3 linked regions of the Oryctolagus cuniculus genome follow. The protein of the gene in region 1 interacts with the protein of each later gene in a biochemical or structural test. Links are inferred from orthologs where the notes say so. Each region holds a gene or a part of one and is shown in the gene's direction. Other genes may lie near its edges. The genes, in order: GAS6, AXL and TYRO3.

The links.
Region 2: the proteins of GAS6 (region 1) and AXL form a complex in vitro, tested with the Homo sapiens proteins (2 studies listed by BioGRID and IntAct, with this or other methods). The link is inferred for Oryctolagus cuniculus from reciprocal best matches to the Homo sapiens genes GAS6 and AXL.
Region 3: the proteins of GAS6 (region 1) and TYRO3 form a complex in vitro, tested with the Homo sapiens proteins (2 studies listed by BioGRID). The link is inferred for Oryctolagus cuniculus from reciprocal best matches to the Homo sapiens genes GAS6 and TYRO3.

The regions. Positions count from the first base shown.
Region 1 is NC_091440.1:352,468-356,646, forward strand, and holds the start of GAS6 (growth arrest-specific protein 6), read left to right. Parts: upstream 1-1,297; 5' UTR 1,298-1,595; coding exon 1,596-1,674; intron 1,675-1,752; coding exon 1,753-1,919; intron 1,920-4,179. UniProt on the Homo sapiens protein: Ligand for tyrosine-protein kinase receptors AXL, TYRO3 and MER whose signaling is implicated in cell growth and survival, cell adhesion and cell migration.
Region 2 is NC_091449.1:13,349,238-13,352,125, reverse strand, and holds the end of AXL (tyrosine-protein kinase receptor UFO), read left to right. Parts: intron 1-614; coding exon 615-966; 3' UTR 967-2,308; downstream 2,309-2,888. UniProt on the Homo sapiens protein: Receptor tyrosine kinase that transduces signals from the extracellular matrix into the cytoplasm by binding growth factor GAS6 and which is thus regulating many physiological processes including cell survival, cell proliferation, migration and differentiation.
Region 3 is NC_091443.1:64,631,982-64,636,127, forward strand, and holds the start of TYRO3 (tyrosine-protein kinase receptor TYRO3), read left to right. Parts: upstream 1-1,315; 5' UTR 1,316-1,333; coding exon 1,334-1,475; intron 1,476-1,761; exon of another isoform or gene 1,762-2,373; coding exon of another isoform or gene 2,374-2,413; intron 2,414-3,218; coding exon 3,219-3,402; intron 3,403-3,585; coding exon 3,586-3,686; intron 3,687-4,146. Other genes in the region: acidic proline-rich protein PRP25-like, read right to left, coding at 695-1,315. UniProt on the Homo sapiens protein: Receptor tyrosine kinase that transduces signals from the extracellular matrix into the cytoplasm by binding to several ligands including TULP1 or GAS6. Regulates many physiological processes including cell survival, migration and differentiation.

The DNA.
Region 1 (4,179 bases):
GCCCTGGAAATGAGGGTGAAAATGTCGAAGCCGCGTGAGGTCAGAGATCTGTCATTGCCTCCCACATTTGCTTTATGCATCGCTCAGCTCTGCCGATCAGAACGCGCGAGAGATGTGAATGGGTTTTGTTAAACCAAGGCCCTGCAGGAAGGGGGCATTGGGACCCACTGGGACTCGGATCCCAGCTAAGGGGAGGCCGGGGGCCTGGAAGGCTCTGTCGGGGTGGGACCATGCTGGTCCCGGACCCCCTAAGGCAGACGTCCCATGGAAGCAGAGGACAGAGACGCCCACCCCGTGTGGACTGGATAATTCTGGGGGTTACACAGCACTGTAATCTCTTCTACAAAGCCACGCAAACGTGACGAAACAGCCGCAAACAATCACCGTGCTGTGTCCCCTCCTCGACCCCTGCCTCTGGGCTGCCGGCTTTGGGAGCCTAGAAAAGAATGCACACAAGGGCCGGGATACTTCGTGGCACACAGGGGCCGGGATGCTGTGTGGCACACGGCGGCGCGCCGGGAGGGGCTGCCGAGTGAGCGCAGGAGAGGGGTCTGCCGCACACCCAGGTCTCTCCTAGCAGGCAGGAAGGCTCCTAAAGTCCTTGGGGGGCACTTCACGCCTGCCCACTTGCCAATGGGCAACTGCCCGGCAGTGTCCTGGGGCACCGGGTCGGGCACAGGGGCTCGGTTTTCAGTTCTCTCCGAAGCTCAGTCCCCTGGGCAGATTCACGCTTGGGCACGGCACCCGCAAACCACCAGGTTCGAAGGCTGCCAGCACTGCCTTCCCATTCTCCCGACTGCAGAAGGTGGGAGGAGCTAGCTGCAGCCATGTCACCGCCATCTCCATGTCACCGTCACCATCACCACTTTGGGCTGTGCAGGTCCCGGGGGGCAGGACTCTCTGGAGTGGCGTCCAGGGTCCCCAGGCTCACTGCCTGCTTGGCCTGGCTGTGGTTCTGTTCGCCGGTGACTTTGTAGAATATTCTGACGGGACGCCGAGTGCTGCTTCCCCCTGGATCCCCGGCGGAGACCGGGTTCTGAGAACACAGGTCACGAAAGGAAATCGCGCAGTCTCACTCCTCGGACCCTTGCGGGGCTCGAACTCGGTTTCTCTTTTTCTCCAGTGAGTTTCGCGTCCTGAGAAAATGCGCCCACGAAGGGAGGCTCCAAGGATGCCGGCGACGTGCCGGGCGCGGAGCACGCAGCCGCGTTCGCGCCCCGGGAGGTCACTGCGTCCCGGACACGCGGCCACTGCGAGCGCGCGCGGGCCCAGCCGGCCTGCGTGGAGATCGCCACGTCCTGGGTGACCTGCTTTCGCCTTGAGTCTCGGAGCTTCCCGGCGAAAACCGGCTGGAGCGCTCCGCCCGCGCCTCCCAGCCCGAGCCCTGCAGTCGCACGGCCGCCGGCCCCGCCCCCGGCCGCGCCGCCCCCGCCCAGAGCAGCCGGCGCGCCCGGGCCGCCGCCGCGGTCGGGATGTGACCTTCAGGGCCGCTGGACAGGATGACGGGAGCCGCTGCCCCGCGGCGCCCTCGGACCCCTGCGACCTCCTGGGAGCTCTGACCGCGCGCGCTCACGGCCGCCCGCCCGGCCCCCGCCATGCAGCCCGCGCCCGGGCCGGCCGCCGCCCTGGGCACGGCGCTGCTGCTGCTGCTGCTGGCCTCGGAGTCGGCGCCCAGTGAGTGCCGCGCGCGCCCCGCGACCCCGCGCGCTCCGGGCCGGGCGCGGCCTGACCGCGCGCCCCTCTCTCCCGCAGCCGTGCTGCTGCGGGCGCGCGAGGCCGCGCAGTTCCTGCGGCCCAGGCAGCGCCGTGCCTACCAGGTCTTCGAGGAGGCCAAGCAGGGCCACCTGGAGAGGGAGTGCGTGGAGGAGCTGTGCAGCAAGGAGGAGGCCCGCGAGGTGTTCGAGAACGACCCGGAGACGGTGAGTGCGGGCGCGCGGGAGTCCCGGGGCGGGTGCGCGGCCCGAGGGCGCCCGGAGCTGTGGGGCACCGCCCCGCAGCTCGTGGGCCGCTCCCCGGGACCCACGTCCTCCTCTGGCCGGGCGGGTCGGGGGTCCGCACCCTGCTGCGCCTCCCCAGCAAGGAACCAGGTGTCCGTTTGCAAACCGTGACCGAGCGGCCAGGATTCTACCCCAAGCGCCTCCTGGCTCCCTGCCTCCTCTGCGGGTTGGGGGGTGAGGGGCACAGGCGCCGATGCGGGGCGTCCCCAAAGAAAGAGGAACCCAAAGATCCCACAGAAATTGCCTGCAGCTGCAGCCCAGAAAACGCAACTGCGGAATCCTGTGGGGGACAACAGACGGGGCCTATGTGTGTGTGTGTGTGTGACAGTCACAGCCCCGTGTGATGAAGGGGATGGTGTGTGTGTGTGTGTGACAGTCACAGCCCCGTGGGATGAAGGGGATGGTGTGTGTGTGTGTGTGACAGTCACAGCCCCGTGTGATGAAGGGGATGGTGTGTGTGTGTGTGTGTGTGTGTGTGTGACAGTCACAGCCCCGTGTGATGAAGGGGATGGTGTGTGTGTGTGTGTGTGTGTGACAGTCACAGCCCCGTGTGCATGGAGTGGACAGTGTGTGTGTGTGTGTGTGTGACAGTCACAGCCCCGTGTGATGAAGGGGATGGTGTGTGTGTGTGACAGTCACAGCCCCATGTGCATGAAGGGGATGGTGTGTGTGTGTGTGTGTGTGACAGTCACAGCCCCGTGTGATGAAGGGGATGGTGTGTGTGTGTGTGTGTGACAGTCACAGCCCCATGTGCACGGAGTGGACAGTGTGTGTGTGTGTGTGTGTGTGTGTGTGACAGTCACAGCCCCATGTGCATGGAGTGGACAGTGTGTGTGTGTGTGTGAGGGAGACACACACAGTCACAGCAGCGTCTGTGCAGGAGGGAAGGTGTGTGGCAGTCACAGCCCTGTGTGATGAAGGGGATGGTGTGTGTGTGTGTGTGTGACAGTCACAGCCCCGTGTGCATGGAGTGGACAGTGTGTGTGTGAGAGAGAGAGACACACACAGTCACAGCAGCGTCTGCGCAGGAGGGAGGGGTGTGTGACAGTCACAGCCCCATGTGCATGGAGTGGACAGTGTGTGTGTGTGTGTGTGTGACAGTCACAGCCCCGTGTGCATGGAGTGGACAGTGTGTGTGTGTGAGAGGGAGACACACACAGTCACAGCAGCGTCTGCGCAGGAGGGAGGGGTGTGTGGCAGTCACAGTGGCTGCAAGGCGTGGTCACCTGGTCCTCTCACAGCAGAGTTTGGGGCTCAGCTGGGCTTCTCTGTGGAGCTCCCGTGGGATGAGGCGGTGTCACGTGGGAGCAGGAGTGGCCACGTGGTGACTCACCATGGTGCCTGGTCTGCTGGCCGGCCCCCCAGGTCCCTTTCCTGACACGCATGCTCACCCCTGGCTGTGCCGAGGCCCCTGTGGCTGGAGGTTTCCCTGGATTTCCTGTCTATTTCATGGTGATCGGCCGAGGCAGGCGGTCTCTGGAGGTCCTCGCTGCATTGTCCTAGCTGCAGTGCCGGGTCACTGGGGTCCCTCACCTGGGGGATTGCGATGCCTAGTATGGGATGGGCTGTGGGGGCAGAGCTGAGGCCAGGCCACCCCAGCCACGGAGCCCTGCCTGCTGCAGCTCCGGACCCCTGAGTCTGGCTCCTGTGCCTGATTGCATGGCTTGTATGTCTTAGTTGCAACTCTATTTGCAAAGCTGTGCATGGAAGACAGGAAGCGAGGGGCACTCCCAGCCCGGCCCCTGGCACTGGTTTCTGTGCCAGGGGCCTTTCCCTGTCTGTCCTGGGAGCCCAGTGTGGCCCAATCAGAGCAGTCACTGTTTCCCAGGATTCAGTCCCCTCCCCAGCTCCCAGGACCCCCCTCACCGGTGCGTGCCCCAGGCCAAGGCGTTGCCCCATGCGTGCCTGTCCTGAGCACGCTGCATCCCCGGGTGTCGCCTTCCCTCCTCTTTTCCAGGGAGAGGCTGCTCCCGGAGGAGTCCAGCTCTGGGCCTGCAGACTGGGTGTCCACCCGTCAGGGGTCCTTGGCTCCCCTGCATCCCTTGTCCCGTGAGAGGCAGCCGTCCAGACACCGTTGGCAGCCAGCACAGCCGAGGCTGAGGCCTCACGGAGGGACGGCCAGTGACTGCGATCTCCCTTCACTTTCCCTGCCCTTGGACCTGGCTCCTATCGCGGTTGTGCA
Region 2 (2,888 bases), on another chromosome or scaffold:
ACAAGGACCCCTCCCTAGCACTGGGACGGTGACTCCAGGGCAAGTGCAGGCAGGAAGCCACAGTGCCTGTGTGAGCTGGTCTCGGAAGTCACACACACTCTGGCTGCACACAGCGGGAGGAGACTTCCTGCCATCCTTTGAAAGGAGGCTTTATGGGCTTGTTTTAAACCAGCGCAGCCTCTAGGTGGCAGGGCCAGGCTCTGATGCCGGGGTCTCTTCTTGGAGGCTCACCTGGAAAGCTGTGCTGGAGCAGATCCTCACACCAGACAGGTGTCCCCAGGCCCGATCCTCACACCAGACAGGTGTCCCCAGGCCCGATCCTCACACCCAGACAGGTGTCCCCAGGCCCGATCCTCACACCAGACAGGTGTCCCCAGGCCCGATCCTCACACCAGACAGGTGTCCCCAGGCCCTTCCCACATCCCACCTCCAGGACGCCCTGCAGAAACTGCTGAGCATCTCCAAATCTCTGGAAGATCCCCCACATTGCTGTTTCCCCACAGCCCTTTGAAACGCCCCCAGTTCTCTGCATGTCATACAGTGTCCCCAGACTCCCAGAATGCCATCTGTCTGAGTCCCTGCTCAGTCTCTCACCCCTCACTTTGTTGCCCTAGGTATGCCCTGATGTCCCGGTGCTGGGAGCTGAACCCCCGAGACCGGCCAAGTTTTTCAGAGCTGCGGGAAGACCTGGAGAACACGCTGAAGGCCCTGCCCCCTGCCCAGGAGCCTGACGAAATCCTCTACGTCAACATGGACGAGGGCGGAGGTCATTCCGAGCCCCGTGGAGCTGCCGGAGGAGCAGAGCCGCACACCCAGCCCGACCCGAAGGACTCCTGCAGCTGCCTTACGGCCGCGGAGGTCCATCCTGCCGGACGCTACGTCCTCTGCCCTTCCACGGCTCCTGGCCCTGCTCTGCCTGCCGACAGGAGCTCCCAAGCACCCCCGGCACAGGAGGATGGAGTCTGAGATGACCCTCTACCCAGAACTTCCTCTCAGGATCCAAGCTAGGCACTGCCACTGGGGGAAGCCCCCTCCCCACTCTCCCACCCTAGGTTTCTCCCCACTGCAGCCCTGTCTTCCTGCCACCCCCCTCCATCCGGACAGACCCTTGCCTTCCCTGTACCACAGCACCCCCACCTGTAGGAGGAAGGGGTTCGACTGCAGTCTCTCAAGGTACTCCCAGGCCTTTGCATTCCGAGACTCGGGACTCTAAGGGTTAAGGAGTCTCGATGCCGAGGTTCTGGGTTTCAGAGATACTACGAGTTCTTGGTTCTAAGGACCTGAAATTCCAACGTCTCTAACTCAAAAGTGCTCAAGTTCTCAGCAAGGAAGTTCTAAGGCTGTGAGATTGTGTGGTTCTAGATTTTCTGGTTCTAAGATTCTTGATAAGACCCCAAGATTTTAGGTTCTAAAGCTCTAGATTTTGCTTTTCTAATGGTATGTATGTAAGAATGTAGATTCTGTAATTCTAGACATGGAGGTCCTAAGGCCTATATTTCTAAAAGCTGACATTCTAAGGCTCTCAGATCTAAATCCTTTAACCATAAGAGTCTGGACACGAAGGCTTCAAAACATTGTCTCCTCAAGGTTTGATATCCTAATGGACTCTGAGGTCATAGATGATCCAGGATTCTAGAATCTGCAACTCAGAAGTTCTAAGAGTCTAAAGATGGACGTTCTGTGGTCTCATGTCCTAAGATGTGACATCCTAAGACTTAGTCTCGGAATCTAAGATTCTAGATCATATGCTCCAGGAGTCTGGATGTTAATCCCTGAGATCCTGATGCCGGTCTAGCCTGTGTTTCAGGGCACTCTAGGGTCTGTTGGTCCAAGATTCTGCATGCAGGACTCTCACCGGTAGCCATGACTAACTAGACTCCAAAGTTCTAATCGTTCCTAACATTGGACACCTCCAGGTTCTATGTGCACTCTGCCTTCCTAGGATCATGTGAAGGACCCAAGAATCCACATTTGTAAATCTGAAGGTTCTAGGTACTGCAGTTAAAAGACTGCGTGTTCTCAGTTCTCAGGGTCCACAGCCTAGAGTATTAGGTACGATTCCAGGGTTCTAACCTGATAGGGTTCCTCTATGTGCCCCTCCCCTTCTTAGGCACTGCCTTCGCTTCCTCCTCCCCCCAAGCCTGTGCAATGCATTAGGGATGCCTCCTTCCCCACCACCCCGGGGGATGGGCGGCTCCCTACTTTTGGGTCATGCTGCCCCCATGAGCCAGTCCCTTATCGCCGGTGTACAAGTGTGGTCTCTGGTGCCTCCGGAGGAGCTGAGAGCACATAAAACTTCGTAATCTTCTTTGTGTCTCCTCTCATCTGCATTCAGCTGCGATGCGGCCCCTCTCCCCAGCCATTCAGTTTCTCTGTCAGTACCAGGAAGGGTGTGGTGGGGTCTACGAAAGTCTCCTCCCTAGAGAGGTCTAAATGAACACTGTACATCGAGGCCAAACACACACAATCAGGCAGACACCCAGCGGGAAGAGGAAGAAACTTGAGCAACAGATCCAAAGTGATAGAAATCCTGAGACACGGAGCAGAACAGGTACCCACAGTCCAGGAAGAGAAACGCGGGCACAGAACCCCTCCGGTAGTCCCGGGTCCACCAGGGGAGTCCGCTCGCTGCCCTGGGCGCGCAGTCCAGGGTGTGTCCGGGAGCGGACCGAGGAGCCCCTGGCAGCGCCCGGACGCCCCCCGGTGGCGGCTCCCGAGAAGCCGGGACGGTTCAATCCGGGCCACAAACTTTTTTAGAACAAATCGTTGTGCAAGGCTGGGAGGAGAGAGGAAGTCGGACGTGGGCGAGGGGCGGGGTGTCTGGACTGGAACCTCCGGGCCCACGTGAGTGTCTGTCCCGCCGCGGAGTGGGTGCTGCGTGTCCGGGT
Region 3 (4,146 bases), on another chromosome or scaffold:
GCCGGGGGGCGCCCCCAGCTGGGGCTGAAGCCGCCGCCAGCAAGGCTGTTATCATTAGCGTAATTAATAAACAAGCACTGCTGGGGCCAAGCGGAGGAGGAGGCGGGCCCCTGCTGCCCAGAAGAGTCCCTGGAAAGATCCAGGGCGGTTGTGGGGAGGTTGAATGGCAGCCCCCCCGCCCCAGGGCCTCTGGGAAGGGTTGTCTGCGTTGGTCTCCCTGCGGAGGCGGGGTGGTACAGGCAGTGGCAAGGACACGGGGAGGGGAACACTTGGTGGGCTTGGTTGGGAACCAGCTCTGCATCTGCTTGACAGGATGTCTGTGGGCAAGGCCACCCCCGCGACTGCTGGTTTTCAGGCAGGCTGTGAGGCAGTTATTCATTCACTTAACTGACATCTGCCTATTTATATAAGGATTGCCTACTGTGTGCAGGGTGGCATAGAAATAATGGCTAATGCATAACTGGGCAGGGTGGGGACATGGCCATCTTTCACACCAGATTGGGGGGGGGCAGGGAAGCACTAGGCAGAAGGGACAGCTCCAAAGGCGGGCTGTTTGGCCGTGTAGCCTAGCGCGGGGACCAGTGAGTCTCAAGGTAGCACCTGAGACTGCAAGACCCCAGACCCAAGTTGGAAAATACGCCGCTAAGGTGGGGAGGCGAAAGTGGTCATTTTCGGGTAGGAGGATACTTGGGAATCAGAGGCGGGACATGGAGCAGGAACGTGAAGACGTGAGGTGAAAGAGAGAGGAGAGAGGCGCGAAAGGCACGCAAGGGGGAGCCGGTTCTGCGGGGGCAGCCTGCGTCCCAGCGACGTTGGGGCCCGGGGCTAGGAGCGTCCCGTCCAGAGGGGGAGTGCTGGATTCTGCCACCAAGAGTCTACACAGAAGTTGGGCTGCGTAGGGGCTCCGGCGGAGTTTCTGAGGCTCCGGAGTATTTGGGGAGGGGGGCGTGGCCGGGGGCCCTCCAGGGGCCGGAGTCCGATCCCGGCGGCCGGGGCGGGGGGTCAGCGACCGAGCGCGGCCCCAGGGCTCCGCGGGGGGGCGGTACGAGTTCGGGCTGCGGGCAGGCCGGGAGGAGGCGGCGGCTCCGCGAAGAACATGAATCAGCGGCGGCGGCGGCTGAGGAAGGAGCGCGGTGGCCCAGGAACGGCCCCGGGGACCCCCCGCGGCTGACGGTGGCGGCCGCGGCGCGGGTCTCGGAGGCACGGGTCCCGGCGCCGCCCCCCGGGCGGGCTCCAGCCCCTCCCCCGGCCCTCCCTCTCCTCCTCCCCCTCTGTCCTCCCTTCTTCTTCCTCGCTCGCGGGCCGGGCCCGGCATGGTGCGCCGTCGCCGCCGATGGCGCTGAGGCGGAGCATGGGGCGGCCGGGGCTCCCGCCGCTGCCGCCGCCGCCGCCGCCGCCGCCGCCACCGCCGCCGGTACTGCTGCTGCTGCTGGCGGGGCTGGTCTCTTTGCTGCTCCCGGAGTCCGCGGCCGTAGGTAGGGGCTGGCCCGGGAGGCGGCGGGAAGTGGGGGCTGCGGAGGGGCGCGGCCGGCGCTCGGAGCCCAGGGGCGGCAGCCGAGCGAGACCCGGGCCTGGGCGGGCCGGAGGTTTGGGTTGGGGGGTCGGAGGCTGGAAGGCCGAGGTGGGGGCGGCGGAGGGCGCGCTGCGGAGTGTTGGCCGCGGGGTCTGCGGTCGGGCCCCCCACCCCCAACTTTCTCGCGACTGGAGGCAGGGTGAAGGGAGGCGAGTGGGGTGTGGGCTGTGCGGTCAGCGGGGGGCGGTGGGGACTGGATTTTCCCGCCGTGATGTTCTTGGCTGTTTGCTCTCGTCTGCCCACCTCGCACGCAGTGGTCCCACTCGGAAAGCAGAGGCTGGGGCCGAGAACCCAAGGGGCACCCCATACCATTTAGAAACAGGGGCTGCGAGGATGCCCTGTCACAAAAACATCTGGGCACACTCAAGTTCCTGGGTCCGCAAAGCTTCCTGGAACCGGGTATGTTGGAGGGCAGGGGCTGAGGCTAGGCTGCTGGTCTCTGCCGGGGTAGCTTGATGTCCCATGGAGCCGCTGGGGCAAGAGTGCTCCATGCAGCTCCTGGCTCTCCCAAGCGCACACTGCACACCTCCGGGACTGCTAGAGGACGAGGGGGTGTGAGGCTGCCCTGCCTGTCCTGCGTCTGAGCCCGACACCAAGAAGGAGGTGGAGAAGAGGCAGAGGCCAGGGCAGCAGGCACTGGGCTGGCACCTCCTGAGACAGCAGTCTCTCAAGGAAGGGAAGGGAAAGACGGTGACAAGGCTTTAGCAGCTAAGAGGTGTGCATCTGATGCTCAGAGAGCCCAGGCATTTACCTAGAGTCACACAGCCAAGGACAGGAGGAAGCAAGACTGGATTTCAGCCATGTGGAGACTTCCCTGCACCTCTGCCAGGGAGCCAGGAGGTGTGTGCGTGTGGTGTGTGCGTGTGCATGCATGTGTGCACAGAGGAGAGGGGCAGCGTTCCAGAGGGTGGCCCTTGTTGATGTGACAATGGCTCTGCAGTCTTGGGCTAGCTGCTCAGGGCCCCACCCCTCTCTTCTGCCTCCCACCCTCCTAGCCTCCGCCCCTGCACACATTCAGGTATTAATAGAGCCGGTGGCTGCCAGGAAGGCTGCCATGTGTTTGATCTGACGTGGTTTTGTAGCCATATGTTCCCTACTTTGGGAGAGCACCCCCTTCCCTTCCGCAGCCTCCTTTCTTTGGCAGAAAGGGTGGAGGGGGTGCTGGTGCCGTCGCAGGGGCTACGCTGACTCCTTGGGTGGAGAGCGGGCAGCCTGTTGCACCGGCTGGGTGCAGTAGCCAATTCTAGGGCAGTGCGTGCCCCAGGGGCTGAGGACTTTCCCCTGTTTCAGCCCTCTCCCCCCTTTTTTTTGGGCTTTCCCCTTGGTGGTTGGGCCTGGATTTGCATTGCCCAGCAGGGAGGCTTGGAGAAAAGGGCCTCAGAGGTGGTGTTGGAGGGACTTGGTAGAACAGAAGTGAGGCCTGAGCTGTCTGTCCTGTGTCTCCCCGCCCAGCCCAGGTCCTGGCCACCTTCCCTCCCACGCTGGCCTGCCCCTGCTGCCTCCTTGGCTCTGGTGGAGAATCAGCCCGAAGCTGTGTTCTGGGAGGGAATAGGAGAGATTTCCAAGGACAGGGTCTCTCTCTCTGACACCGACTCGCTCTCGGTCTGACCCAGTTGGTGACACTGTCTCCCCCTGCCTCCCCCAGACCTGAAGCTCTGGGGAGCCCCGGTGAAGATGACCGTGTCTCAGGGGCTGCCTGTGAGGCTCAACTGCACCGTGGAGGGGCTGGACAGCCCTGACATCCACTGGATGAAGGACGGGGCTGTCATCGAGACCCTGGACGAGGTGTTCATCCAGCTGGACGATCGGCACTGGGTCAGCTTCCTCAGGTGCAGGACCAGGGGGCACGGTGCGGGGGCCGGCCGGGGCCAGGCTGTGCCGAGGGCCGGGGCTCTGCAGGGTTTTTGTGTTGGACAGCCTGTGGAACCCTTCTGAAGTGGGGGCAGGCTGAGTGCTCCATGTCCTGTTGCCCCTGGACCGTGGGAGGCGAGCCTAGTGTCCTGTTTCCGCAGCCTGAAGTCAGTGGAGCGCTCGGATGCGGGCCACTACTGGTGCCAAGCGTATGATGGGGGAGAAACGGAGATGTCCCAGCAGGTGTGGCTCACGGTCGAAGGTGAGGAGGCAGGCCACATGGATGCGCTGGCCTGGAGCAGGTGCTGCCTGATGCCGGCCGGCCGTATCAGTGGAGGAGAACTCCATGCAAGCCAGCTTACCCCACTGCCCTGTGGGGACCAGCTTACACCAGGCTCTGGGCCCACCCCAGACTTCCGATCTGAGAACCAAGGAGATAACCAGGACCCGCAGCCCAGGGAGAAAGGGGCTGGGGGATGCAGCCTGTTTCAGTTGTCAGAGCAACATGCCTCTAGCACCCATCTGGGGCTGGACTCTGTTCCGCCAAGTGGCCCGGCCAGCAGGGCGAGGGGTGGGGGAGGGGAGGAAAGCTCCGCAGCTGTGGGAGCTCAGAGCTGTTCAGCCCAGGAAAACAAAGTGACTAAGAAAGTAACAAAGGGCCGGGACCCAGAGCCTGCAGAACCCTGCTAAAGCGCCCACCCACTCCCCTCCTCCAGCCCCCA